Bombyx mori: one gene and its partner. The protein of the gene in region 1 interacts with the protein of each later gene in a biochemical or structural test. Links are inferred from orthologs where the notes say so. Each region holds a gene or a part of one and is shown on either strand. Other genes may lie near its edges.

What was found.
Region 2: the proteins of DNA replication licensing factor Mcm3 (region 1) and kelch-like ECH-associated protein 1B form a complex in vitro, tested with the Homo sapiens proteins (2 studies listed by BioGRID, with this or other methods). The link is inferred for Bombyx mori from reciprocal best matches to the Homo sapiens genes MCM3 and KEAP1.

Annotation. Positions count from the first base shown.
Region 1 is NC_085112.1:2,196,026-2,212,145, forward strand, and holds the start of DNA replication licensing factor Mcm3, read left to right. Parts: upstream 1-8,423; 5' UTR 8,424-8,745; coding exon 8,746-8,817; intron 8,818-9,156; coding exon 9,157-9,434; intron 9,435-9,988; coding exon 9,989-10,163; intron 10,164-10,823; coding exon 10,824-11,062; intron 11,063-11,615; coding exon 11,616-11,855; intron 11,856-12,757; coding exon 12,758-12,922; intron 12,923-14,056; coding exon 14,057-14,255; intron 14,256-14,715; coding exon 14,716-14,864; intron 14,865-16,116; coding exon 16,117-16,120. UniProt on the Homo sapiens protein: Acts as a component of the MCM2-7 complex (MCM complex) which is the replicative helicase essential for 'once per cell cycle' DNA replication initiation and elongation in eukaryotic cells.
Region 2 is NC_085128.1:13,251,643-13,267,022, forward strand, and holds the end of kelch-like ECH-associated protein 1B, read right to left. Parts: intron 15,109-15,380; coding exon 14,959-15,108; intron 14,778-14,958; coding exon 14,661-14,777; intron 11,598-14,660; coding exon 11,436-11,597; intron 10,898-11,435; coding exon 10,706-10,897; intron 7,141-10,705; coding exon 7,009-7,140; intron 5,910-7,008; coding exon 5,830-5,909; intron 4,909-5,829; coding exon 4,703-4,908; intron 3,352-4,702; coding exon 3,175-3,351; intron 2,074-3,174; coding exon 1,760-2,073; 3' UTR 274-1,759; downstream 1-273. UniProt on the Homo sapiens protein: Substrate-specific adapter of a BCR (BTB-CUL3-RBX1) E3 ubiquitin ligase complex that regulates the response to oxidative stress by targeting NFE2L2/NRF2 for ubiquitination.

The DNA of each region.
Region 1 (16,120 bases):
AAAACAAAGGGAATTACAAAAGTAACAGTCGAAGTCGACGGACTGCAAAAACTTCTACCTGTGGTCGTAATGAAAAATGCCAAACCAATGTTATTTGGTTTACATTGGAGTGAAGTTTTTGAAATGAAATTTCCGAAACCAGTATACTCCATCAAAACATCAACACCGATGACTCTTAAACAAATATTGGATAAACATGTACAACTCTTTGATGGAAAACTAGGAAAAGTTAACAATTATTACGTAAACATACATGTCAAACCAGAAGCTGAACCGATCCACCTTCCTGCACGGCCTATAAAATTCAGCATGAAAAAAAATATAGAAAGGGAGTTAGATCGTCTGATCTCAGAAGGGATAGTGGAAAAGGTAGATCCTAATATTACACCTATTGAATGGGCTACACCCACAGTTAACATTCTGAAATCTACAGGGGAAGTTAGGATATGTGGAGACTACAGAACTACACTTAATCCAGTACTTATTAAACACCTACACCCAGTTCCGATTTTCGATCAACTACGCCAAAATCTCGCAAACGGTAAATTATTTTCAAAAATAGACCTTAAAGACGCATACTTACAATTTGAAATAGCACCAGATTCGAAAAAGTACTTGACGTTGTCAACCCATAAAGGGTATTTCCAATACAATAGAATGCCTTTTGGAATATCGACTGCTCCTTCAATTTTTCAACATTTTCTGGATCAACTGCTAGGTGATATCACCAATGTAGCTGTATATTTTGACGACATAGCTATAGCAGGGAAAGATCTTTCAGAACATTTACAAACTTTACCTATTGTATTCGATCGCTTACAAAACGCTGGCCTAAAAGTTAACTTAAAGAAATGTAATTTCTTACAGAATCAGATTGAATACCTAGGTCACATAATAGATAAACATGGCATCCACCCAACCAAATCTAAAATTGATGCCATAACTAAGGCCCCAGCACCGTGTAATGCAAAAGAACTACGATCATTTTTAGGACTAGTAAATTTTTACGAACGGTTTGTACCACATCTTCACGGGATTTGTTCGGATCTTCACGATCTAACTAGTGAAAAAAATAGATGGCGTTGGACTGATCATGAAAACAGAATCATTCAACAGTTCCGATCGCAACGCTGTTGAGCCCGGACGCGTTTTCCTGAATAATTGTCGCTGCTGTCGCGATTGTGTGTCTAGTTTGCACGACATCGTCGTTGTCGCTTTGATCGCGACTTTGTTTTGCATTCCGGACGCTCTGTCGCTGGCATCGCGACCTTGATTCAGTAAAGCGTAATTCGAGTTCGTAGTTCTGCAATCGAAAACGACAATTTCATATTATCACCAAAACATCCAATCCATTGTCATTATTATTTTTATTTATCTATCATTTTAAAAAAACAGTCTCTTTCGAGACTAACCCCCACTGCGATCACCGCTTGTTGTGGCACTCACAACCCAGTGGGGCCCCCACCTTCCCAAACTCTCCACCCCAATCCCAGCTGACCGCCGTTTTCACGGCATAGGCATCCCCCCCCTGCAAATCACTGCTGGCTGGTACAGCGCAGGGGGTTTAAACTCCCACTCAGGGGACTCGCCTTTCGGCGAGTTGCTTTAAGTCCCGGGGACGCCCCCCCTGGGCACAACCACCATGGCGGACGACGACCCCACCATGTTCGTCCTTTTCGTCCGGGAGTTTTGCCCGGACATCATGACTCAATTTAAGGCCCATAAAGCCAAATTAGCAGCTCAGTCCCGCGCACCGCTCGCCGCCGCCGCGAATATCCCAGACTCGCCGATGTCGCCCCCCACCCCCGCGCCCGCGTCGATAGCGTCCTGCGCGGCATCGAGCTCCGGCTCCGACTCCGAGTCGGAGATGGAGTTCGAGTCGGCCGCCAGCCCCGAACCCGGAACCTCCGATGGGTTCCAAACCGTCACGCGCGGGAAAAAACGCGCCCGCGCCGTGGAACCGTCCGCGGCGCCGAAACAACCCAAGGCCGCGAACGCGTCGCGGCCAAAAGTCGTGGTCTCTCCCGACTCCCCTCGCCGCGCAACCCCGTCGCCGCGACCCCAACCCGCGTCCGTCCGCAAAATTCCCGCGCCGCCGCCGGTCATCTTGCGGGAAAAGTCGTCGTGGAACCGGGTATCCCAGGCCCTTACGGCCAACAAAATTAATTACTCCCAAGCGCGTAATCTCGCGCACGGGATACAAATTAAAGTCGCAACGCCGGGCGACCATAGGGCCCTCACTTCTTACCTCCGAAAGGAGAGCATAGGCTACCACACCTATGCACTCCAGGAGGACCGCGAGCTCCGCGTAGTAATACGCGGAGTACCTAAAGAGCTCGACGTCGAGCTAATCAAAGAAGATTTAATTAGGCAAACGTACCCGATTATAAGTGTGCACCGTATGCACAGCGGGCGCGATAAATTCGCATACAACATGGTTCTCGTCGCGCTGGAACCAACCGCCGAAGGCAAACGAATTGCCTCAAGCCTCCGCACCGTTTGCGGCTTATCCGGGGTCACCGTCGAGGCCCCATATAAAAAAGGCACTCCCGGGCAGTGCCACCGCTGTCAGTTATACGGCCACTCCGCGCGCAACTGCCACGCGCGCCCGCGGTGCGTAAAGTGCCTCGGCGACCACGCGACAGCCGACTGTTCGCGGGTCAAAGAGACAGCGACTGAACCACCGAGCTGTGTGCTCTGCCAGAAGCAGGGCCACACAGCCAACTACCGCGGATGCCCCAAGGCCCCGCGGAAGCGTCTGGCCAACGCGCCTCCAAAAACCGTCGGCCCTAAGACTTCGGCGCCCCGCGCGCCGAAACCTGCCTTCGTGCCGGCACCGGTGCCCACCGTCTCCGCGTGGGCAAAACCGCTGCCGCTCACGTTGGCAGGAAAGCCACCGGCACCCCAGCCCCTGCTCGCGCCGCGCCCCGCCCCCGCGCCCGGTCCCGCGCCTCGCCCCGGCCCCGCGCGGCCTGTCGTTAACGAATTCTCAATCGTGCGCGATTATATCGCCGCGATAAATATCGACCGCATGCGTGCGTTCGCCTACGCCATGCGCAGAGCGGTCACGGCCGAAGACCGCCTAAACGCGACGTTCGAGTACATCGACGTCATCGAGTCCGTCCAGCGCACGCTGGTTTGATTACCGGTAATCAATGGCGTGCAACGGTAGGGAAAAACCGCGTTCCATAAAGTTAGCATTTTATAATGCTAACGGACTCGCGCGTCAGCGCGATCAAGTATATGAGTTTCTCCGCGATAATCTCATCGACATCCTTCTGGTGCAGGAGACCTTCCTAAAGCCCTCGCGTCGCGACCCCAAAGTCGCGAATTACGTCATGGTTAGGAATGACAGACTCTCCGCCCGCAAGGGCGGGACTGTCATTTACTATAGGAGGGCCCTGCACTGCGTCCCTCTCGATACTCCCTCGCTCTTACATATCGAGGCGTCAGTGTGCCGCATCGCGCTGACGGGACACCAGCCGATCGTCATCGCATCCGTTTATCTCCCCCCTGACAAACCCCTCCTGAGCAGTGACCTCGAGACACTGTTCGGTATGGGGGACGCGGTCATCCTGGCAGGCGATTTAAATTGCCACCACACTAGGTGGAACTGCCATCGCACAAATGTGAACGGTAGGCGTCTCGACGCGTTCATAGACGACTTCACATTCGAAATATTCAACCCCCCGACCCCCACGTACTATCCGTACAACGCCGCGCGTCGTCCGAGCACAATAGATCTGGCACTGCTGAGGAACGTAACTCTGCGCTTACGCTCCATCGAGGCAATGTCAGAACTCGACTCAGACCACCGACCTGTCGTCATGCAGCTCGGTCGCCCACTCAACCGCGAACCAGATACGAGGACCATGGTGGATTGGAAGAAGCTGGGCACGTGCTTAGCTGACACCGCTCCACCAATCCTCCCTTGCGGCCCGGATTCAACTCCATCCCCCGAGGATACCGTCGAATCCATAAACATCTTCACTGATCACGTCTCGACGGCGATCATAAGATCTTCGAAACAAGTCGATGTGGAGGACTGCTTCCACCGCATCAGACTTTCCCCCGATCTTAGGGACCTCGTTAGAATCAGAAACGCGGCAATCCGGGCCTACGATCGATATCCCACGGATTCAAACCGGACTCGGATGCGTCGCTTACAGCGGGAGGTCAAATCCCGCTTAAGCGACGCCCGAAACGAAAACTGGGATAGTTATTTAGAAGAACTCGCGCCCACTCACCAAGCATACTGGCAACTAGCTAGGACCCTCAAGTCCGAAACTATAGCCACTATGCCGCCTCTCGTACGCCCCTCAGGCCAATCACCGGCTTACGATGACGATGACAAGGCAGAGTTGCTGGCCGATGCACTGCAAGAGCAGTGCACCACCAGCACTCAACACGCGGACCCCGAACACACCGAGTTCGTCGACAGGGAGGTCGAGCGCAGAGCTTCCCTGCCGCCCTCGGACGCGTTACCCCCCATTACCACTTCCGAGGTCAAGGAGGCGATCGATAGCCTACAACCACGGAAAGCTCCCGGCTCCGACGGCATCCGCAACCGCGCGCTTAAACTGTTACCAGCCCAACTGATAACGATGTTGGCCACCATATTAAATGCTGCTATGACGAACTGCATCTTTCCCGCGGCGTGGAAAGAAGCGGACGTTATCGGCATACACAAGCCGGGCAAACCGAAGAACGAAACCGCGAGTTACCGCCCCATCAGTCTCCTCCCGGCGATAGGCAAACTTTACGAACGGCTCCTTCGTAAACGCCTCTGGGACTTCGTATCCGCGAATAAAATTCTTATAGACGAGCAGTTTGGATTCCGCGCCAGACACTCGTGCGTCCATCAAGTGCACCGCCTCACGGAGCACATCTTACTAGGGCTGAACAGGCGGAAACCCATTCCGACAGGAGCCCTCTTCTTCGATATAGCGAAGGCGTTCGATAAAGTCTGGCACAACGGTTTGATATACAAACTGTATAACATGGGAGTGCCAGACAGGCTCGTGCTCATCATACGAGACTACTTGTCGAACCGTTCGTTCCGATATCGAGTCGAGGGAACGCGTTCCCGGCCCCGTCACGTCACAGCCGGAGTCCCGCAAGGCTCCGCCCTCTCCCCGTTACTATTCAGTTTGTATATCAACGATATACCCCGGTCTCCGGAGACCCATCTGGCGCTCTTCGCCGATGACACCGCCATCTACTACTCGTGTAGGAAGAAGGCGTTGCTTCATCGACGACTTCAGACCGCAGCTACCACCATGGGACAGTGGTTCCGGAAGTGGCGCATCGACATTAACCCCACGAAAAGCACAGCGGTGCTCTTCAAAAGGGGTCGCCCTCCGAACACCACGCTGAGCATCCCTCTCCCGACTAGGCGCGTCAATAACCCCGCCCCCGCCGTTCGCCCAATCACGATGTACGACCAGCCCATACCGTGGGCCCCGAAGGTCAAATATTTAGGCGTCACCCTCGACAGTAGGATGACATTCCGCCCCCACATCAAGACGGTACGCGATCGTGCCGCCTTCATCCTAGGACGTCTCTACCCGATGATATGTAGGCGAAGTAAAATGTCCCTTAGAAATAAGGTGACACTCTACAAAACTTGCATACGCCCCGTCATGACCTATGCAAGTGTAGTGTTCGCTCACGCGGCCCGCATACACTTAAAATCCTTTCAAATTATTCAATCCCGTTTTTGCAGGATAGCCGTCGGAGCCCCGTGGTTCGTCAGGAACGTCGACCTCCATGACGACCTGGACTTAGAGTCCATCAGTAAGTATCTACAGTCGGCGTCCATGCGCCACTTCGATAAAGCGGCACGACACGAGAACCCTCTCATCGTGGCCGCCGGTAACTACATTCCCGATCCTGCGGACAGAATGGAAAGCAGTCGACGTCGCCCTAAACACGTCATCTCGGATCCTCCTGATCCACTAACGGTGCTTTTAGGTACTTCAAGCACCGGTCACCGTTCTCGTCGAACCCGTCGCTTGCGACGAAGGGCTCGACGAGTAAATTAACTCTCAGACACAGCCCACTGAGTTTCTCGCCGGATCTTCTCAGTGGGTCGCGTTTCCGATCCGGTGGTAGATTCTGCGAAGCACGACTCTTGCTAGGGTTCGTGTTAGCAACATCGTCAGGTTTGAGCCCCGTGAGCTCACCTACTAAAGTTAAGGCTACGCTGAAATAGCCGCTAGGGCTATCAGCTTAGGTAGGAAAAAAAAAAAAATATTTGAAGATACAAAGAAATGCATAACTTCTTCACAACCATTAATTGCATTTGACGAGAAACGTCCCCTTTATTTAGCATGTGACGCTTCCGACAAGGGATTGGGTGCAGTATTATTCCACAAGGACTCGAACATAGAACAACCAATTGCTTTTGCTTCAAGGAAACTACGACCAGCGGAAATGAAATATTCCGTTATTGATCGTGAAGCTTTAGCAATAGTATTTGGTATAAAAAAATTTGATCAGTACTTGAGAGGAACGAAATTTAATCTAGTTACGGACCATAAGCCTCTTATACATATTATGGGTGCACACCGCAACCTTCCTAAACTAGCCAATAACCGATTGGTAAGATGGGCCCTAGTAGTGGGAAGTTATCAATATGACATTTACTACAGGAAAGGTGAAAATAACACATTAGCTGATTGCCTTTCCAGATTACCAAACCCTGAAACTGAACCCTCCGAGACAGAAGGGCTTGTACATAAAATAGATCTACGTCTTTTGAGCACTCGAATGACTGACCTTAATCTATCAGAACAGTTACTTATGAAAACAACTTCAAAGGATCATATACTCACAAAAGTTTGTCAAAATTTAAAAACCGGCTGGAGAGAATCAGATTACAATCCAGAAATGAAACCATTCTACAGAAACCGGACTGAATTATCTGTTGAGAATAAGATACTTGTGAGGCAAGGACGCATCGTTATACCTACAGCACTCCGAAAAGCCATTCTTACATACCTTCATCGAGGACATCCTGGCATTTCTGCTATGAAAGCACTTTCACGTTACTATGTTTGGTGGCCTAACCTTGACGAAGACATAGAATTATTTGTCAAGAAATGTACCAGATGCCAACAGAACCGCCCTTGTAATCCTGAACTTCCTGTATTTTCCTGGTCCATACCAGAAGAAGTATGGGAGAGAATCCATATCGACTTTGCTGGACCGTTCGAAGGATCGTATTGGTTGGTATTGTGCGACGCTCTCTCCAAATGGGTGGAAATACGACCGATGAAACACATCAACACCAGATCACTTTGTCTTACATTAGATAACATATTTTGTACATTTGGCTTACCAAAAATGATTATATCCGATAATGGACCTCAATTTACATCTTATGAATTTAAAGAATATTGCACAAAACAATCTATTTTACATGTCACATCATCTCCATATCATCCTCGGACAAATGGGCTGGCACAACGTTTAGTCAGAACATTCAAAAATAGAATGGCATCGGTAGACAACACAAATCTCGAGCGCCGACTATTAGAATTTTTGTTTACATACAGAAACACTCCGCACTCGTCCACTGGTAAATCTCCAGCTGAGATGATGTTTGGACGACAATTGAACTGCATACTTTCCAACATTCGGCCAGACAAAAGAAGATTAATGCAGTATTTACAAGTAAAAGAAAACATTCGTACCACATCACCGAGTTACCGACCAAGTGACCAAGTATATATTAAAACACGCAATGATAAAATATGGGAACCAGCGGTAATTACATCCCGAAAACATAAATATTCATATATTGTTTCAACACCAGGAGGACTAGAAAAACGAAGACACGCTGATCACATCAGGCCACGCGAGTCCTCCACCTCAGAAACCCCGAGGAATGAAAGGGCGCATTCTTCTATGCTGCCGGCGACTGCTTCTCCAGACATTGGAATGGAAACAACAATTAACGAAAGGCTAACTAAAAACAAGAATTCAGCAGCAGTACCATTACCTACACCGCAGTCACCTACAAATGTACAAATTTCTCCAAATTCACCTTCACAGCATTCGAAGTTATACTCCTCACCTGCTCCGGTCTCCACTCCTGTGCCATTTGCTGCGCGTCGAAGTAATCGACGTATACAGGCACCCCGCCGTCTGATCAACGAGATGTAGATGGGGAGGAATGTTGTAACCTTCTTTTCCATATTCCATTATTTGAAATATACTTCGAACACATTGTCATTTTTACCATCTATCATTATTATATTTTTATGCTATGTCTTGAAAACATTGTTTTATTATATCGACTTTTATACCTTTTCGATACTTGGAATTTTATATCGATCGATATATATTGAAGTATTAAATAAAGCTCAAAAATAACTATAATTTAAAAAATTTATATCGATATATCGATGTATCGATATTTTTTCAACAAGCCTAGTTCGCATTGGCTATTTGCGAGAAATCGCGCCAACTGCTGAAATTTTTTAGATTTAACTTTTTGTGATAGTTATAATTTAGATAAGATTTTATTTGTGTAATTGTTAAAGTTTTCTATTAAAGTTTGAAATAAACCATAATATTCTAACGCTATTCATAGCAGTGATCGTGAGAAATATTGGACTCTACAACTCTCATCTCAATCAAAATAAATTCAACAATACGCAACGACTTTTTGATTTTGGTTAACTTTAAGTGTTAAAACAACTGAAACAAAATATAACAATTTTTAAAGCTAAGTTCAATATGGAGGAAGGTGATTTCGATCAACGTTTGAGAGACTTACAAAGGGAGTACCTCGAATTTCTTGACGATGGTGTGAGTTAATTATTTTTTGATATTAGGTATTGAAGTAAATGAAAGCTTTAAATTTTTTTCTGGTTACAATAAGTTTTAATATCTGAAATAAAATAATGAAGTATTTCAACCTCCTGTCCCATTAAAAATGGAGGCACTCATCTTTATAGATATGATTTTAAATAATCATAAGTGAAGTGCTTTGAAATTATAGAAGAAACTGATTTATTCTATTTTTTTCCGTTTCTTGTTTTATATTTTTTGTGGATTTCAATATTGCTAAGTTATCATAATCAATTTACGACACGTTGACAGCTTCTCTGTAATTTGTTAATATATAAATTAATTTTAAATGTCCAGGAAGATCAAGAAATTTATATGGAAAAAGTGAAACAGATGATAGAAGATAAATCAAAGCGCCTCTTAGTCAGCATCAATGACTTAAGGCGTAAAAGTCCTGAACGTGCCAAGAATTTACTAGAGAATGCCTTTGAAGAACAGATAGCATTCCAAAAGGCTTTAAAAGAATATGTGTCTTCGATAGACCCTACATATGCTAAAATTCAAGAGGAGTTTTTTGTGGCATTCTCAGGAAGTTTTGGTAACAAACATGTTACACCCCGAAGTTTGACATCTAGGTGGGTTATTACTTATAAACATGCTTATTAAAGTTCTACTGCTGAATTATGTCATTTTAATTTTAAGATGTGCTATAATTAACGAGCTTGTAAGGTTAAAACTAAGTTTGTTTTATGATATGTGATGGGTTCACCTAAAATTTATTTTTGTTTGTTTTCTGTGTGCAAAATTAATCTGTTTGAATATATATAAAAGTACTAGATTCAATGAAAAAAATATTTCATAATTATATAGTTTTAAGATTCAGTGCATACTATACATGTGGAGATGGAACAAGAAATTTACTGCTGAATACTACTGAAAATTTACAATCTTCCATAAATATTTGAGCTGTAAGCGTTTTTTTTATGATCATATACAAAAACAGAGGTCTAAAGTAGCTGAATAAGCTCAAACGTACAAAATGAGTCTAGATTTATTTACAAAAAATTGCATAAAAGAAAGATTCAGGATAAGTTACAATGTATTGTGCTTTAGATATTAGTCAGATTAGAATTGATTGAGAATATTATTTGTTTTTCTCACACTTATCTAATTGTTGTAATATTTCCAGGTACCTCGGAAATCTAATCTGTGTGGAAGGCATAGTGACTAGAGTATCATTGGTTCGTCCTAAGGTGGTCAGAAGTGTACATTATTGTCCAGTTACCAAAAAAGTGATGGAAAGGAAATATACCGATCTAACTTCATTTGAAGCATTTCCCACCTCTGCTGTATACCCTACTAAGGTCCATAGTTTAGTCATTAATTAAAATTAGAATAGAATAACAAGAAATTGTTAGTGAAATATAAAGATCTCATTAGACTACCTTCTAAAAAAACCTTCTACTCTGTGCTGAAGTAGTAGACTACTTCAGCACAATGTGGTATTTTCTCTGTATTTTGCCAGTTGTCGTAGACAGCTACTACACATTTGTTATTTATTTTGCTACTTCGACTACTTATTTTCACGACACATTATGATCAGAATCTGTGAACTAAACTTATTTTAAATGTTTTCAAAATAGGTAAAGATAAGCATAATTTTAACTGATTCTTTTGCTATATTGGATGACATAATAAGTTACTAATTTTAAAGTTATCTTACGATTTATAGATACATTAGCACTTCTATAATTGTAGTCAAAAAAATTTAACTTTTTATATCTTAAATGGGTGGACAAACTCACAGCCCACCTGGATTTAACCTGGAGCCCATAGACATCAACAAAATATCATCACCTACCTTGAGCCATGAGCTCTAAATCTCAGTTTAATAGTAGAATAGCTGTGTGGTCCGGTCCACCTTTCAAACTGTGTCATAGTAAAAATAGACAGGTTGGTGATATTTTGCCATTTGTGTCTGAAGTTTATGAGTAACATTTATAGTGTAACTCGTATGTTCATAGGATGATGAAGGCAATCCTCTAGAAACTGAATATGGACTTTCGCGGTACAAAGATCATCAGACCCTTACCGTTCAAGAGATGCCCGAACGGGCACCAGCTGGGCAACTGCCAAGAAGTGTAGATATTATATGTGATGATGATCTAGTAGACAAATGTAAACCAGGAGACCGGGTGCAGATTGTAGGGAACTATAGATGCCTGCCCAATAAGCAGGGAAGCTTTACTGCTGGAACATTCAGGTATGAAGAGAAGTTACCTTTTGATATACATTTTTTTTATTGCCTTTGTAGGCAGACGAGCATACGGCCCACCTGATGGTGAGTGGTTACCGTCGCCCATGGACTTCAGCAATGCCAGGGGCAGAGCCAAGCCGCTACCTTCCGCTATGAAATATACATTTGAAAAGGATCATTATAAGAATTTAATTAGGTTTTGTTTCTTTTGAATTGTCATCAATATGTGTCTGGTGCTGTACATTTTAAAGGACCACTCCAGTATATAGTGCTCAAAGTCCTTTACACACAAAGGTACCGACAGTGTGGGTATTCAAGAAAGTATTTGTTCTTCTTTTAATAAAAAGGATTGCTATTGACACTGAACCATCTTGGGTAACCAGCATGTTTTCTTAAATTTATAATTCACTAAACAAAATAATAAAACAATAGTACCTTCATTTAAAACCATTATTATATACTTATTCCTGAATATTACATACTGAATTCATATTTTACATTTGTCTATTTACCCCAGTCCATAGAGGATTCAATTTAAAGTAATGTTATATTTTTTCAGAACAATCCTTATAGCTAACAATATAACACAAATCAACAAGAATATGAACATGTCAATAAACAGGGAAGATGTTAAGATCTGTAAAAGACTCGCAAAGAGAAAGAATGTTGATATGTTTGAACTTATGAGCAAATCTTTAGCTCCGTCAATCCATGGTCATGATTATATCAAGAAAGCTATTTTGTGCTTATTGCTTGGAGGCATGGAGAAGGTACTGCCAAATGGTACAAGATTGCGAGGGTGAGTATGTATTGGTGGGTTTGAATACAAAAGGATGAATTTGTTTGCTTGTGACCTATATGTTTGCATGTTTTTAAATCAGAATGAGTTGCAATTGTGATCAGCCATTGGCAGTTCAGAGAAGGTTTTAGTCATAGGACTATTAAAGTATGGTAGTTCTGTATTAATTACTTCATAAATGAGTATTAGTAGTTAGCATTTTTGTAAAGGAGAAACCTCGATTTCACTAGTTAATTCTTACTTACGGGAGAATGTTGCAAAGTATAACGAGGACTTTGTTATACTTCGAAGTGTTACTGCCATTTTGTTACTTTATCACTACTTTGTCTATTTGTTTGGACAATTAATAAAATAACAAATTCAATAGATGAAAATGCAATCCCTATTGTTCCTTCCTCTTAAAATAATCTTAAATCATCGTAATAAAAAAATCTTAAATAATCACATAAAACTGATTAATCACCTTAAAGAGTACGAGAAGAAAGCTTGGAAAAGTAGGATCATGGGTGACATTATGAATTAAATAGTAAAATGCAGTTTCCTTAAAGATCGGATTCTACATGTACTTTGGGAAGAGATCCCCAAATTACAAAATGAAACCGTACCTTGTCTTATTTTGTATTTTGCAAGCTTGTTGGATACGCCATTGTTTTTGATTGCGTTCTGCGTGGTACATTCCACTTGGAGGTCGGTTTCGTGTGCCTTCTTATATTTAATTTGTAGTTATACCGACAAAAAGAAGATCTTGTTGTTTGGATCTTGTATATATGCGAGCTTATCTTGAGAATGTCGCAAGCCAGATTTACGCATCTGTCAAATATCTTGTGTTGTATGATGGCTACCGCCACAAATTAAAAGCTGTCATTTAGTACTAAAACATTACGGTTGTTTTTCGTTTACAGAGACATCAACGTTCTGCTAATCGGCGACCCATCAGTGGCGAAGTCCCAGCTGCTCCGCTACGTGGTGCAGACCGCGCCGCGCGCCATCACCACCACCGGCCGCGGCTCGTCCGGCGTCGGGCTCACGGCTGCCGTCACCACGGACCCGGAGACAGGCGACCGGAGGTGGGCACAGACACATAACGATACTATATTTTTAAGTCGTCGTGGCCTAAAGGATAAGACGTCCGGTGCATTCGTGTTGAGCGATGCACCGGTGTTCGAATCCCGCAGGCGGGTACCAATTTTTCTAATGAAATACGTATTCAACAAATTTAATGTTTCAGTAATGCGTTTCGATTTGAAGGGTGTGGCAGCCGTTGTAACTATATTAAGACCTTAGAATTTATATCTCAAGATGGGTGACACATTTACGAAGCATGTTCTCATGTGTTCGGTTGTTGGAACGTTAAGACCTCCCTCCTCGCATCGTTTTCTTTATTACTGAGGGTCGTGACTTCCCCGCTGCATCCGCTTCTCCCGTACGATTTCCCTCCATGTGCTGGGATCCTTAGCTTCATGAAGGGTATTGTGGAAGTTGATGTTTAGAGAAGATTGTATTTGGTCCGACCATCTCGTCGGACTGCGTCCTCTGGGACGTTTACCATCTACCTTTCCAGTCACCATCAACTATTTTGGATTGTGACCCTCTTAAAGGTAAGATCAATAAGTAATAGATATAAACCATTCCAGTTGTATCAGATGTGTCGTACAAAATAAATAAATCATCTATCATGTATTTAAATTATCGGTGTATTTATCAAAGATTTTTTTTAAAGGATTTTATGACCTGGTAACTAAGACCTTTAAGTCATGTCTTATTTTAATTTATATTCTTATTTTTATGAAAAATGATAATATGAAATGAAATGGAGATGATTAATTTGAGACGATAGTCAACTGGGATGAAATTAAATGAAATGAGATGAGATGATATGGGATGAAATATAATTTCAGTAAAATGGTGGTCATTTACTGAGATTTTTTCAGTGCGCTTTTTGGAGGATCCCGAGAAATTACGTCCAGCGGCTTTGTTTCATTTTCCCACATTTGTGCACTTTCACAGATACTAAACACTTAATAAACCACCGTTATTACACATTTAAACCTGAAGAAACACTAAATAGACAAAAATAAAACAAATCATACAACTTCACTCCTCGCGTTCCCGCCAAAAAGTCAAAGAGCCGGTCCCTGACACCAGATCGCTTTGTGGTCAGAATAGAGTTATCAGCGACGGAATCTCATGCTATGTTGCAGGCTGGAAGCGGGCGCGATGGTGCTGGCGGACCGCGGCGTGGTGTGCATCGACGAGTTCGACAAGATGTCGGACATCGACCGCACCGCCATCCACGAGGTCATGGAGCAGGGCCGCGTCACCATCGCCAAGGCCGGCGTGCACGCCTCGCTCAACGCGCGCTGCTCCGTGCTGGCCGCCGCCAACCCCGTGCTCGGCAGGGTATGCTGACCCCACAGACATACGGCCTCCCACTCTATGACAACGTATCGGTGGTAGCATTTATCATTAGTAGAACTAGCACGATCATAGGATTATAGGATGGTGTAAAATAAATACGAGAGAGAGAGAGAGAGATAGATAAAGAGAGATAGAGAGAGAGAGAGCATTCTTGTACACCAACAAAAAAACAATGCAAACATTAAATACAAAAAAAATAGTACAATTTTCGGTCGTATCGATAAGAAAGATCTCTTCCAGACAACTATCAGGTGGAAAAGAATCATTTGGAAACGAATTTCACGCGGTGTACCAATCTATTGATATATAACGCATATACACATAAACACACATACATACATATACATACACAAATTCCTTACATATATACATTTACGAGCTTATGTAACCCTAAAATAACAATATTTTATCGTATCGATAATTCTTCAAATTTATTTTCCAGTATGATCAGTACAAAACGCCCATGGAGAACATCGGCCTGCAAGACTCGTTGTTGTCGCGTTTCGACTTGCTATTTGTGATGCTGGACATCGCCGACGCCGACCAAGATAATATGATCTCTGAACACGTTCTTAGGATGCACAGATATAGGTCAGTATGCGTCTCCATACATACCGTTCTCTCGTGAGCAGCCGACGGTCGATACTGTTGCCCAATCATTAAAATTTGACCATAATATGAGACCTCATGATTTAGATTCATTTTGTGTATAATGCTGCATGCCCCTTGCTGTAACTTATTCAAGGAAAAATTACATGTTTTTTTATGAACTAGTGTTCCCCGCAGTAATCGAAATTCAACGATAATTATTAATTGAAATTATAAGTTTAAACATTATTATGGTTCTATTGTCAAAGACTTTAATTCTATAACCACAGATTTGGTCAAGGCTCCACTAAAGACAAATATTAATAAATATAAATAATATTAATCTATTCTCAATTTGACCACAGTCTTTAAACAATAACAAAAGTTTGACAATAAACAAGGAGTATATATATGTTGTGTATGTCGAATACATGGTAGTGTTATTTAAAATAATATTCACATTCTGCACTCCTCTATATTCTCTGTAAGTGTGCGAAATTTCATACTTCTCCATCCGCTCAATTGCTCTTTGAGAAATGATTAATTGTTTTATCTTTGCCTATTTATATGCTTAGCTTAAATGGCATTAAAACATACTTATTGATTGTTCCGAGAAGAAGTGTTGAAACAAACTCATCGTGCTCATTTTATGTTCTTTGTTCTCTTAAAAATACTTTAATCAATCAATTGTTATTATAAATACAAACAAATAATAAATTTAATGTATCTAATAACATGAAAAGCTTTAGAGCGACCATCTCATTTCCACATTATGCTACCCCTTTTTTGGTAAACCGGTGAATCCATTTAAATATTTCACGACCAGCCTTATTTTTAACTCTAACGGAGTTTATACGCATCGCAAACTGGATGCCGCTACCCATCTTGATACCCGTCTTAATTATTTCATTAAATTACAATTTTTACAAGTCTGTATTTATTACATGAGGTTATTAGTTTATATAAAAATTTTCGTGAATGTGTGTAAACTAAGAATAAGAAGAAGAAAAAATTGGTACCCCGCCTGCGGGATTCGAACACTGGATAGTCGTATCGCTCGATATGAACCGCGAGTCTTATCCTTCAGACCACGATGACTTTGTCTCTCTATAGATGGTTTTAAAATTTTCTTTTCTAAAGCAGAAGGTATTTTCTCCAAGGTTATAGTTTGTGTGCGATTGAATATTAATCTCAGAAGCACAAAGAAGCCTCATACATTTGTTTTAATACTCATTTTTTTATTATTGTTGCATAGAAAT
Region 2 (15,380 bases), on another chromosome or scaffold:
CAGTGGGTCGCGTTCCCGATCCGGTGGTAGATTCTGCGAAGCACTGCTACTGCTAGGGTCAGTATCAGCATCACTCCGGTTTGAGCCCTGTGAGCTCACCTACTAGTTAAGGTTACGCTGAAATATCCTCTCAAGGCTATCAGCTTAGGTAGGAAAAAAAAGTAGTATTCACGCTGTAGTGTCTATGGGTTGACCTAGACTAGATGAGCGGTAAATCCTGTCCAGTGTCCACGGCCTATCTACGCCAATGAAAAGATAAAAAAATCATTAAAATAACTTCCCTTAACAGTCTTTATTTTTCCTTACAAATAAAACTATGATATTATTTACATGATTAAATATTTATAGTTGGCTTAATTAAATATGTAATGAAAACATCATTTAATTTTCAAAACATTAAAATTTTTAGTAGAAAATACATACAAAACAAATAAAATATATCACATTTTATATGTCATTACTTCAATACTACCGTCCAAAGGAATGTACAGAATATTGTACTAGTGTAAAAAGCGAGCTTGAAATAAAAATGCATAAGAACACATTTACGTCAGTAAGGCGCGGTCTATGTAGGTAGTTAATTATGGTACTGTTCCCTTAGACGACAGAATAATACAAATTATCAGAATCAATTGTTTTAACAAATAATTAAGTACCTAATTTATAACTTTTCAGTTCATTTAGAACATACTACACAAAGTTTTGTTCTTTAGTTGTCTTGACGACCTCAAATTTATAATTAGATTCAGCTGTGATGTCAAATAGTTTAATAATAAAATCAACACATTCTAGTATCTACATTTAAATTTGAAATAAGTAAATATGTACAGGGACATTAACAAAAGCCGAAAACAATGTTCTACTGCTTGAAGGTAAGTTCATATTTCGTTAATCCACGACAAAACATTTAAGGCAGCCGGCGGTCACGGTTCGTTGACCTCGCGTGTCAGCCGATTTTTACTAATATATTGTAAGCTGTGTAATATAATTTTACGCTTACGATTATGTTAATGTTATATTGTAATTATCGCATTTCGTCTTTTGTTTTCGGAATAGATTCCTTTCTATAGAATCTAAGTATACATAGATATACCTCACACAAAATGAATTAAATAAGAACAGTCATTAAGGTTCAATCAAGTACAACACGTCAGTTCCTATTTGCAGTTTTTTTAATTCAATTAACACAGAAAAATAAATAAATATTGGTTTATATTGGAATAAAAATATATGCTATCATTTTTCTTTGAAAAAGAAATATAAAAATGTTTATTGTAAGAATTTTATGCGCTAGTGAATGAATATGCGTCTTGGGAGTCCAGGCTTTGAGGCCGCCAACATAAAAGCGCATAACAGCTCTACTGTATTTACACTTCCTAACAGGTTTCTCTATGAATGCATGAAAAGCTAATTAACGTTAAACCTATACAGTTCTTAACAACAATAACATTAAGTTCAAGGAAGAACATTTTTAGTCAAACAATAAGTACAATTGTTTTGTACATAGTAAAACTGTTGTAGTCAAAATTATAACGATCCATTTCTTTCGTCAGAACGTCAAAAGTTACGACAGCGTAACATTGTCATATCAACTATACGGTGGAATATGCTATTGGCCGTCATTCCTTAGTACTGTCACCAAAACAATCAGCAATCGATACGTTACGTATGGCTACGAGAAACAAAATCACAAATCTCACTGACTTATATACAAGGACGGTCCCGATTTATATCGAGTATCACATCACAGCACTAGTCACTACAGGCCGTTCTCGAAGCTCCTAGTGTTCGATAAAGTCCGAATGATGTTGTTGGCCATCGGGATGTCGTCGTTTCTGGAGGACGACGGCTGAGTGAGGACTGCGGTGGAGGCGGTCCGTTTGCCTATCTTCCTGAGCACGGTGGCGGCGGCGGCGAGGTCGCAGTGGTCGGACAGCGGCGCCACGTGCTGGTAGCACACGGCGGACGCGTGGCCCGACCGCACTGACGTCAGCGGCGTGCCGTTGCACCAGCTGTTCGTGGCCGGGTCGTACACCTCCACTATATCCAGGAACGACGTGCCGTCGTAACCACCTGAACGTGACAAAATCGATAATAGTTGTTAGTGAGGTGGTGGTTAAAAAAAATGCTGGTTTTACTGGTGCTAGGACCTCTTGTGTGTCCGCACGGGTAGGTACCACCACCCTGTGCCTATTACTGCCGTGAAGCAGTAATGCGTTTCGGTTTGAAGGGTGGGGCAGCCGTTGTAATTATATTGAAACCTTAGAACTTGTATCTCAAGGTGGGTGGCGCATTAACATTGTAGATGTCTATGGGCTACAGTAACTACTTACACCAGGTGGGCTGTGAGCTAGTCCACTCTTCTAAGCAATTAAAAAAAAATGCTACCCAATCCCTATGTTCGCGGTGAGACATTTCTTTATTCGCGGATCTTATCGGTAAATCGGTTCATTGATAAAAAGGATTCCAATATAGGTATAGGTATCCAACCGAAAATTCTTTATAAAAGTGGACTAATAAAAAAGTAAAATAGATCTTATTACAACTATGTCTAGTAGGTATGTTGTTAAATTTATATTTTATTTTATTTATTGCTTTGATGGGTGGACCAGCTCACAGCCCACCTGGTGTTAAGATGGTTACTGGAGCCCATAGACTTCTATAACGTAAATGCGCCACCCACCTTGAAATATAAGTTCTAAGGTCTCAGTATAGTTACAACGGCTGCCCCACCCTTCAAACCGGCATTACTGCTTCACGGCAGAAAGAGGCAACCTACTCGCACGGATTTACAAGAGGTCCTACCACCAGTATATGATATTAATATATTCACGGTTTCTGTATTCGCGGCATTTTTACGGACCATGTGCCCCGCGAATAAAGCGCTTTTACTGTAGATATAACTGCAGATGGGCTCCTCACCGCCCTCTAGTGATTACAGCGCGGACTGCACGCGGCGTCACTGCCTATTTCTGCCGTGAAGCAGTAATGCGTTTTGGTTTGAAGGGTGGGGCAGCCGTTGTAACTATACTTCAAGACCTTAGAACTGATATCTTAACATGGGTGTTGTGTTGCATTTACGTCGTAGATGTCTATGGGCTCCAGTAACCACTTAACACCAGATGGGCTGTGAGCTTGTCCATCTAGCAATAACAAAAAAAAAAACAATCTCACCTAAAGCATACAGTTTGTTATCCAGCACGGTGAGCGAGAGTGCGGAGCGCGCTATCTGCACCGGGGCGACAAGTTCCCAGGTATTTTTCTCAGTATGGTAACGTTCCACGGAGGCCAGCTGCTGGGAGCCATCGTAGCCTCCCACCACGTATATGAACTGATTCATTGCTGCCACGCCTGTAACGAAATTAAGCGTTACATTTCATTATCATCAACATAGATTAGTTGAATCGTTTAAAACACTCTAATTTCAATCAGAGGTCTTGGAACTTGGAAAGTGAGAATGAGTTGCTCGCTCCGGGCATTTCAATATTGCAATAATTGTTACGTTATAATACTCATTGTAAAAATGAATATTTAAAATAATAATTTACTATTTAAAAAAAAGACATGCCCGCTGAGTTTCTTGCCAGTTCTTCTCAGGACGGAGGCTAGTTTTTGTGAATTGACGGTAGTTCTTTTTGACGTCCAACAACTATGTACTTTCATTTATGTTGAATAAATTTTTTTTTTATTTGATTTGATTTAAAAAATTACAATAAAGTGTCTGTAAACAAAAATTGGACCAAAATTATTTTATGTGCATACGACTGAATTAGGACTATATCGGTATCATAGCTTATAGACCGAAACTCAAAAACTAAGCAAAAAAAAACTACAAATCCATTATAAATCGTATATAAATTTACAAGTTTTTAGAGAAGCAAACACGCAAAGTCGTAAAGTATCAGTGTTATCATTGACAAGCGAGCAAGCTCTTCTTTATTATGTCTAAATAGACATGGAAACAACAGTTTCCGATAGTTCGAAATTGCCTTGGGTCGGCGCGAAAAGGTCTCTATACGACCATGAACCTGTTTGTAGGCTGCGTAGAAGCTTACAAACATGAATTAAACTTCAGAAGGTCTATTGACAAATCAATGGGAGGAGATGAGCTCACGGGTTCAACCTGAGAGAATTTTCTAACACCAGCCTGAGCAAGAGTAGTGCTTCGCTGGATCTACCATCGGATCGGAATCGCAACCCGTTGAGAAGAACCCGCGAGAAACACAGTGGGCTGTGTCTATGTGTTAATTCGCTCGTCAAACTCATTGTCGTAATCGACGAGGACGGCGACTGGTGCTTGAAGGGCCTAAAGGCACTGAGAGTGAATCCGACAAGACATGTTTCTGGCGACGGCGGCTTTGCGTTGCCCCGTCGCCTGGGTCGGATATGTAATTAGCGGCTACCACCATAAGGGTGTTATTGTGTCGCGCCGCTTTATCGAAGTAGGGCTCTGATGCTACCTTTAGGTACTAACATATCGGTTCTAAATTTAGATCACGTACCACGGTGCTCCGAGGCCTATTCTGTGAAAATGGGATTAGATGACTTGGAGAGAGTTAATGTAAATACGAGACGCGTGAGCGAACTTTACACTTGTGTAAGTCATGACGAAACGTATGCAAGTTTTGTAGAGTGTCACCTAATTACGAAGGGACAATTTATTTGGGGTAGACGCATTAATGGTATAGACAACAGTAAGGACCTGCTCCGCTGCGCGCGACGTGCATGGGCGCGACCTCGGTCCAGCGGTTGTTCTCGGGGTGGTAGCACTCGACGGAGGCCACGCGGCGCGCGCCGTCGAACCCCCCCGCCGCGTACAGCAGCCGGTTGACGACGGCCACGCCCACACCCAGCCGCGCCGTGCTCATGGCCGCCACGCTGCTCCACAGGTCGCGCTCGGGCTCGTAACTGCAACCAATACATTCTATATGTAACTATACTAAGACCTTAGAACTCATTAGCCCAAGGAGTTTCTCGCCGGATCTTTTGAGTGGGTCGCGTTTCCGATCCGGTGCTAGATTCTGCTTTTTTTCTTTTTTTCTTACCTGTGCTGATAGCCTTGAGAGGCTATTTCAGCTTCACCCTAACGTGTGTAGGTGAGCTCACGGGGCTCAAACCGGAGTGTTGCTAACACTGACCCTAGCAAGAGCAGTGCTTCGCAGAATCTACCACCGGATCTAAAACGCGACCCACTGAGAAGATCCGGCGAGAAACTCAGTGGGCTGTGTCTATGGGTTAATTTGCTCGTCGAGCCCTTCGTCGCAAGCGACGGGTTCGACGAGGGCGGTGGCCGGTGCTTGTTGTGCCTAAAAGCACCGTTAATGACGTGTTTAGGGCGACGTCGACTGTTTACCAATTGGTCTACAGGATCGGGTATGTGAGATTACAAACGAACAATATGATCATACAAACATATAATATTTAAAAAAATAGCTAAAACAATAACCAAACATGTTTCCATTATCACATCACATATAAGTAGATAGTGAACAGAGAAGAGAAATTTAGAAATTTAAGTTACAAAAAACAAAAGCAACACAATACGCACATATTATTATGTACAACTCACACTATAAAACTATAATACTCATCGGTATAAATCACCTTATAAATATTCCAAAATAGCTTTTCTATATGCTACAAGTGACAAGTAAAAGATGTCAGCACTAGAGAACTTAGTATCATACAACCTACAAGATCTACGGACAAAAGAGTTCGAAGCATATTTCGTTCGAGCCGTGGACATGTGGAAGGTCTGTTTAGAACGCGCGGAAATACGACTACATTTAAATGAAACTATGTATTGAATTTAAAAAAGCCTTGAGTTACCATTCAACAGTCCTGTGATATTCTGATCCGGCCGAACCTCCTACGGCGTACAAGAGACCGTCCATTACTGCCACACCGACCTGCAAATATAATTGAAAACATTCAATACTTCGTACTATATTGTTCTATGTGGGTATCATTAAATCATATTGTTTTGTTAGTCGGACACTCTTATCAGAACGGTCGTGGTTGCACTGACTAATTATTGTGGAATAGAGTAATTTATTGAATTAACTTAAACTGCTGGTGAGGCATTCGGCAATCCACCACTGGTACAGAACATGATATTTCTACCCAGCCACGCCCACAATGAGTGGCCTCAAGCGTGACCAGTATTGTTGGGCACTCTCAACTATTTAATATACCTGTCAGAGACCCACATGCTGTGTGCTTAGCGCGAGTTTTTTAATTTCTCAATCGCGTAAAGTCAACTCAAATTTGTATGGAGTTGGAACAACGCCCCTAGCGGCAAACATAGGGATTGAGAAGCTAAAAAAATTCGAACTTTTGTTTGTTCTTTTACCTATGCTGATAGCCTTGAGAGGCTAATTCAGCTTCACCCTAGCGTGTACGTGAGCTCACGGGGCTCAAATCGGGAGTGTTGCTAACACTGGCCCTAACAAGAGCGGTGCTTCGCAGAATCTACCACCGGATCAGAAACGCGACCCACGGAAAAGATCCGGCGAGAAACTCAGTGGGCTGTGTCTATGTCGCACTAAGCACGCTAAATGTAAATGTAAAGATTGGGAAAGCCCGTCCGCGAGAAGCTAGAATAGCCCCTTAGACAACCAGAAATAAATATATTGGGAAAGCACCACATCGTCTTTTCGCATTAAGAGTGTACAATTTCAAAAAATATTCCAAATTGAGTTAATATGCGGAATCCTTTGGTATCACCAGTATTTTTCTCATAAATACTGTCAAAAGAGCGTAGTTTAGTTATAGTTTTTTTTTTAGTTTACCTATATTTTGACTACATACTATTAATAAAATTAATACATAATTTTATCTTCCTTTAAAAGACAGATAAAAAAAATAAAAAACAAATGTTGCAAAGATGATTAATATTGTAATATAATAACATATCACATGTTAAACTTTTAAAACAATCTCCTGTAAAATTAGTAAGTTTTGAGATTATACAGTTTTAATGCGAGAAGACGACATTTGTATACATACCCTATGACGCGGCGTTGACATAGGACTACAAGGTCGCCAGTGTTCCGTGGCGGGGTTATACACGTCGACCCAGTCGCTGTCGTAGGACGAGCCCGGTGACGTATTCCGACCACCGACCGCATAGAATAAACCCTGAAATAAATATTTCATATCGAGGGGTGAAAAGCTATTTAAAGATTTAAGCCACATTTCGCCTCAATACGCGACATTTCACTGTGTAATATTTTATTTTTATTGCTTAGATGGATGGACGAGCTCACAGCTCACCTGGTGTTAAGTGTATTAGTAAGTATCTACAACGTTAATGCGCCACCCACCTTGAGATATAAGTTCTAAGGTCTCAAGTATGTTCCAACGACTGCCCCACCCTTCAAACCGAAACGCATTACTGCTTCACGGCAGAAATAGGCAGGGTGGTGGTACCTACCCGCGCGGACTCGTAAGAGGTCCTACCACCAGTAATTACGCAAATTATAATTTTTGCGGGTTTGATTTTTATTACACGATGTTATTCCTTCACTGTGGAAGTCAATCGTGAACATTTGTTGAGTACGTGTTTCATTAGAAAAATTAGTACCCGCCTGAGATTCGAACACTGGTGCATCGCTCAACACAAATGCACCGGACGTCTTATCCTTTAGGCCACGACGACTTCTCTATAATCGTTAAAGATACGTTTTATTTGGTATTATCATCAACAAATCCAATGTTTTTAATTGAATTTCAATTAAGTTTAGTCCATACAAATATCTGAAGAAGTGTTTTGATATTTTTTTCCAAATTTTAAACATTAAATGGCTCTCCTGTAAATTCGCAAAAACGTCGCTTATACCAAACATCCTTTCTCCCGCCGATACCATTAGATGTACTTAACTGCTTTCTTGGTAACCGTTAACGCATTTCAAAACTATTACGGCACGAATTTCCCATACTTTTTTTTTTCTTATTGCCGTATAGGCAGACGAGCATACGGCCCACCTGATGGTGAGTGGTTACCGTCGCTCATGGACGTCAGCAATGCCAGGGGCAGAGCCAAGCCGCTGTCTAACGTAAAATTCATTTTGTACGTTTTACATAAAATTCGTCATTCGAAATACCATTAAGTCAAACAATTTTATCTCTCATCAACCGAATGATCATGGTTCTATACTCTTCGCATATACGAGTGTTACTGTGTTACTTATAATATTTGCTATGTGTATGTGCTATAATTCTCATGTTGTATTTGTTATTTTAGTTATGTGTTATTTGTTCTACACACACTTATCACTTTTTATTATTATTCTCATTATCCTCTCGCAGGTCTGCTGGAAAAGATTTCTCAAAGAAATAAGCAGTGCCTTTGTACATAATTTTCCTATTACTCTGTACTGTGTCTTGTTTTCTGTGTGTACATAAAAAAATAAAAAAATAAATAAAAAAATAAAAAAATAAATAAGTATTTTTATCTACATTTTTATTTAAATCAATTTTGTCAATAACATACATTGTGCATTAGCGCTTTTATACTATCTTGTTCAAATATTTGAGTACTTTATTAATATTTCTCACGATCTCATGCTTAAACGGTAAAAAAGTTATGTATGATAATATTTAGATTAGATTAATGACGTCCGATCAGGCAAGACTTCAACAGAATACAATGTTGGAAAACATCATAAAGGTTACATTTTAATTCTAGTTCATTAAAGTCCTTATAAGACACAATCCTTTTTTTTTCTTTATGGAAATAGTTTTAATTTTATGCCAGTTTCAAGTAAAAACACAATTTTTGACTTATAATATGTTATTAAGTTTGGTATGTGTGTTATAAGGAAACATTTTTTTTTCGAATTTGGAAATAGAATTCAATGCATTATTTATTAAATAACATTTGATAGAGACACCCAGAATTGTATGCTGCAGTTTCTGCGAGTTTTTTTTTTATAGTTCATTTAATAACGGTCGGAGTGTGTGTGTGTGTGTGTGTGTGTGTGTGTGACACCGGAACCAGCCAAGAAAGTTCTTGGAATGACACAAATAAAAATAAATAATACATTTTTTTTATTGCTTAGTTGAGTGGACGAGCTCACAGCCCACCTGGTGTTAAGTGGTTACTGGATGGTAGAAGTGGTTAATATATTAAAAAGTAAAAAAACAAACACTTGAATAATAAACCGAATTTATACTTAATTTTGTCTTTTTTAATCTGTTGATACTGCTGACATAAGAGCGAATTTATAAAATTATTGAACTGTCATTGGTCCTTGTTTTGATGAATCTATAAATTTTAAAGTTAATGGGACGCATTGAAGCAAGTGAGAATAATGTTCAAAAATTCAGTTACATACAAACGTTTCAAACTAATACAGGCGTATAAATATATGAAAATTCAAAATTGTACGGTTTGTCCAAACAACCCTCTGTTGTTAATTGCTTGACTATAACAGCACCGATCTTACTGAAATAATTGATGTAAAATGCATCGGTATGCAATATGATGTGCGCGCTGGCCCGTACAAAAATATATTGTTGTTCTTGAAAATCTTAATATTTAATTGCATGACTATAGCGGCACCGATCTTACTCAAATATTTTTTATTATTCTATATTAAGAAACACTAGCTTCATTCTTAATTTCATTGCGTGATAAGTATCGAGAAGATTGAGAAAATCATTTTCAAAAATCTATAATATATTTACTCTATCAATTTCTTTTTGATTCACGTGGACAACACGTCTTAGTTACGTGATCGAAAATGATTTGTCCTTTTGGCGGAACCATAAATCAAAGATCAACCCATCGAACATGTGTAAAGGTTTTGCAGTCGCATTATTAGTCGGCATTCTCGCGTCTAGGGCAATCGTTCAATAACATAATAATAATATTATCTTGTATGACAACCCAACGTTATCGTCACACGATGATTCTTATATTTTCCATACAGTAAATGAATGAGTTGTGGAAATTACGCCTATTTTTATCTTCAAAATAAATCTTTCCACACTCTGACGTTAATGTTCAACGACTCTCTAATGTAGAGACCAAGGAAAGGACGTAGTTTTGTGCAATAATCACAACAATGAATTTTTGAATTTCGTTGCAATTATTACATACACGTAAATACATCGATATAATAATGACAGCAAATAATGTTGTGAATTTAGTGTTGTGATGAATTATATATATGTATATAGAATCACCAAACTTATTAATGAAAGAATGAATTAAGGTTTTGACTATCTAGCAGAGATGTCGCCAGAACACGTCCCCTTACGACCCTCTTGTAAAAGTTATCTGAGTCTGCCTCCAGATACTCTTGACGTGAATGACAGTTGGATTGTTGTTGACAGTGAATGTTCACGATTGACTTCCACGGTGAAGAAATAACAAATCGTGTAATAAGAATCAAACCTGCAAAATTATAATTTGCGTAATAACTGGTGGTAGGACATCTTGTGAGTCCGCGCGCGTAGGTACCACCCCCCGCCTATTTCTACCGTTTCGGTTTGAAGGGTGGGGCAGCCGTTATAACTATACTTGAGAGCTTAGAACTTATATCTCAAGTTGGGTGGCGCATTTACGTTGTAGATGTCTATGGTCTCCAGTAACCACGTAACTCTAGGTGGGCTGTGAGCTCGTCCACCCATCTAAGGAATAAAAAAAAACTATATAGTGAAATAATAATAATAGTAAAATACTCTTTCACTGTATTACCTTTAAAAACGCCGCTCCGAGTCCCGACCTGGGCACGGTCAGTCGCGGCAGAGTCGTCCAGCAGTTGTCGTCTAGGTTGAACGACTCGAACGTGTCTATCGAGTGCCTGAAGTACCCGCCAGCCACGTATATAATGCGGGGCGTGTTCGGTCTGCGTTCTTTCACGACCGGGTTCTTGTGTAATGTCAGATCCTGTTGAAATAATAATAAAATTTATTGTTAGTTTTATCATACTCATTGGAAAAATGAATATTTAAAAAGATAATCTAATATTTAAAAAAAAAAAGACATGCACGCTGAGTTTCTTGCCAGTTCTTCTCAGGACGGAGGCTAGTTTTATGTGAATTGGCGGTAGTTCTTTTTGACGTTCAACAAATATGTACTTTCATTTATGTTGAATACAAATTGTTTTGATTTGATTTTACTGGTGGTAGGACCTCTTGTGAGTCCGCACGGGTGGGTACCGCCACCCCGCCTATTTCTGCCGTGAAGCAGTAATGCGTTTCGGTTTGAAGGGTGGGGCAGCCGTTGTAACTTAATTGAGACCTTAGAACTTTATCTCAAGGTGGGTGGCGGCATTTACGTTGTAGATGTCTATGTTTTTTGTAATTGAAAAATAATTTAATTATACGTCCACCTGGCGACAAAATATCAGAACAATAGTCCATTGTAAATACGTTTCTACCAGAAAAAAACATTATACATTCAAATTGGTGTGATGTGTCCTCACCTTGAATATCTTAGCTAAGTATTCCCTACAGGCAGGTACTTTCTTTAGAACCGTACACGTGCTCATTTGCTCCTTCAGGAAGCTCGGTGTTAGGTACTGGCATCGGACCGCCTGCAGGATGTGCTCCATCCGGGGATGCCTTCTGTCCTCATCGTATTTTACCTGTAACGTTTAAGATGATATCAATTTTTTTTTTTTTTTTTTTTATTGCCTTTGTAGGCATACGGGCGTACGGCCCACCTGATGGTGAGTGGTTACCGTCGCCCATGGACTTCAGCAATGCCAGGGGCAGAGCCAAGCCGCTGCCTACCGCTGAAAGCCGCTGCCTACCGCTACCAAGCCGCTGCCTACCGCTGCCAAGCCGCTGCCTACCGCTACCAAGCCGCTGCCTACCGCTGCCTACCGCTACCAAGCCGCTGCCTACCGCTACCAAGCCGCTTCATTTATATATATAGATTGTGTTTCAGTTAAGCTGCAATTATGTGTATGCTATAAATAAATTAATAACGTAGCAGCAGACTATGATTGTGGTCGTTGTTTATCACGAATGCACCGGTTCGCAGTATTACCCACGTACATTCATCTTATACATATAAACAACTTGACAATATGAAGTGACGACGTTTTTTGTTTGGACTTTACACACGATAACGTAAAGATATGTGAGACAGTCTGTTTATTACCTTCTAACATTAAAATTAACCTACTATTTGTTTGATGTAAAATGAAACATCACGTTGTAGATAAGATTTATTCGAAAACAATGATAAGACAATTTGTATACATATCTGTAACAATACACATACAATCTGTAACAAACTGCGCTAAGTCTAATCATTGACTAATTAATGACATATCATAATTGAATTAGACTCGAAAACTGCGTAACTTATAAAACTGCGCTTACATGTGGCAAAAAAACAGAAGAGAACCCTCCAGAAGAAACCTTTTTATCTCATTCTCTTTCTCGTTTTTACTTCAACGGTAAAGAGTTCCTTGTTCGATCCGAATTAAAGTCCTATTTGTTAAACAATGAAATTCCATCTTTTTCTTCGTGAATTTCAATATGCCATATCACTAAATAATATGTATAGCCGTTGCGATAAGTTCTACAAGAATGGTTATTTTGTGAAACCTAGAACCTTTCTTTTAATGCCCTTGTAGGCATGCGAGCGTAGGACACATTTGACGGTAAGTAGTTACCGTCTCTTATGGATGTCAGTAATACCAGGGACATAGCGAAGCCGTTGCCTATTGCGAAGTATTCTTCGCAAAGCTCGTTTGAAGAAGAACATGTCGATTCATCTCTACCTAATGGCCGCCCAGAAGAGATCGCCCAGAATAATACTACCCACTCTTATTTTTGTGTTGCAAAATACGCACATGTATAGTCGGATTTTTTATTAGACGAAGTCAAGTGACGTTTACTGTGTTGTCAGTTTTTAATGAAATAAAAATAGTGTTGTAACAAAGTGAACGATTGAAAAAACTCCTGAATTCATGAAATTGCCTCGATTGTCTAGTGAATAGTTAGTGTGCCGAACTGCTGATATCGGGTACGGGGTTCGAATTTTAGTCGTGCTTTGTACATACCAGCGAGTTTTCGACGATTATGTTCCTATAGTATCTGCCTATACTGAATACCGAGTGTTTTAAACATTAAGGAAAACATTGCGAGGAAACTTGTAAGACTGTCCTATTTTCAATACATCATATAGTTGAAACTATAAATGTATAAAATATAACAATTATAGGTAGGTAATGAGAATAAAAAAACTGATTGTAGTTACATACTACTAGTAACATATATTAGAGCACTTTAATACAATTTTATTGTAAAATAGAAATAATATTCTTTTATAGTTTGAAATGATTAACTCTTCACACTCATTGTTCATTCATGTGATTGAACGAGAACTGAACACATCACTATTACTTTAAATATAGCAACATTATTTTACAAAGTGACATTAGCTACTGTCAGCTGGCTTCGTCTAATTAAAAATACGACTATAATGTATTTGTTTTTTATTTTATTTTTTGTCTACAGTAAAGTATAATCAATAGATCAGTCAAGATTAACATGGGAAGGATAATACAAAATCTTGCCTTAAAAAACAAATTAACGGAATATGATTATGCTGGCGAATAGCATGATTACGATTGAAGTTAGTAAGCGCTTTGTACGCGAGCCGTGTAATGTGGCGTACAAATGAAAAAACCTAGCTCGATTGACTAGGTATCCGAATTTGAATTCATCACGATACTCAGAATTGAGGAAACAACTGATTAGATAATGTGAGCACTGAAAAATATTTTTATTTCTATAATTCTTATAAGCAAATCGATAAATCGATAAAAGCAATAATAATATTCAATTCTATTGGATTTTTTGCGCGCGGGAATTATTTGGCGACGATATAAATGAGACGGTTTTTTTTTTGTTTCGTACCTAAGCTGATGGTCCAGAGAGACCATGTCAGCGTCATCGGGCTAGTAGGTGAGCTCAGTGGGCTCAAACCCGACGATGTTGCTAATACGAACCCTAGCAAGAGACGTGCTTCGCAGAATCTACCACCGGATCAGAAACGCGACCCACTGAGATGATCCGGCGAGAAACTCAGTGGGCTGTGTCTGAGGGTTAATTTACTCGCCGAGCCCTTCGTCGCAAGCGACGGGTTCGACAAGGACGATGGCCGGTGCTTGAGGTATCTAAAAGCACCGTTAGTGGATCGGGAGGATCCAAGATGAGCATTTTGGGCGACGTCGACTGTTTACCATTTGGTCCACAGGATCGCGACCGAGACGGCATAAGGGTTCTATTGTTTATTGATAGATTTGTTACTGCACTCCCATTTATCAGTTAGTTCAACACATTCATAATATTTTGAATCTCGATCTAATTATTCCTGTTTCACAGCGTTTCCTAGATTAGAACCATTGAATGTGGTATGCAAACTTCTTTATATAAATAAATAAATAATGAACAAAATAAAATAAAAATGATATTTATCTATTTTTCAGGTTTTTTCTTTATCCCGTCAACGCATTTTATCATCGCTCCGCCCGCCATCGGAGCGCTATGGACATGTCCAAACGAGGCTTGAAGGGATTTTGGTATTGATGATGTACATGAGTGACAGTCTCGATTTATCGTAAGATTGGCCGTATGCTCGTCTTTCTACTAAGAAAATAAAAATGTATGAAAATCCATAGATAACTCACCCAACTTAAAACAGCGTTATACACTTCTCTTTCTTCTCTTACGTTCAGTTCGTCTTTGCGGATAAGAGATATTAGTTCTTGTGTTGTTAGTTGTAGGAATTCTTCTTCTTGGCACACCTGGGACACACCAATTGGAGTGGTTACTGTAACTATACTTGAGACCTTAGAACTTATATCTCAAGATGGGTGGCGCATTTACGTTGTAGATTTCTATGGGCTCCAGTAACCACTTAACACCAGGTGGGCTGTGTGCTCGTCCACCCATCTAAGCAATTAATAAATAAAAAGTTAATCTTACCTGCGTGAAATGTCTCTCGATAAATTGATTGGCTCTCTTCTTGAGTTCAACGCATCCGTGTTGTTCGGCGAAGTTCGCGATGCCGATCGCGTTCGAGGGGTCCAGCTGTCGCTCGAGGAACGCGCTGCATGCGTTTATTACATTCGTTATCTGTCGGCACACGTCTAAAATAAGTGTAGTCAACAACTTAACGAACAAACAACGTTTGGTATGCAACAAAACTACAAATACAAATAGTTTTTTCTCCTACCTACGCCGAAAGTTCGGTTTTCGTCCCGCTGTACAGGGAAGAAAGTGTAACTTTTCCTCCCTGGGTACTGACAAGTGCGCATGCGCGTTAGTGTCTACGTCTGCTCTCACGCACCTAAAATTCTCCGCCATTGTTGTGCTCGGGTAATTGCAATATTGTGTTTAGTGTAAAA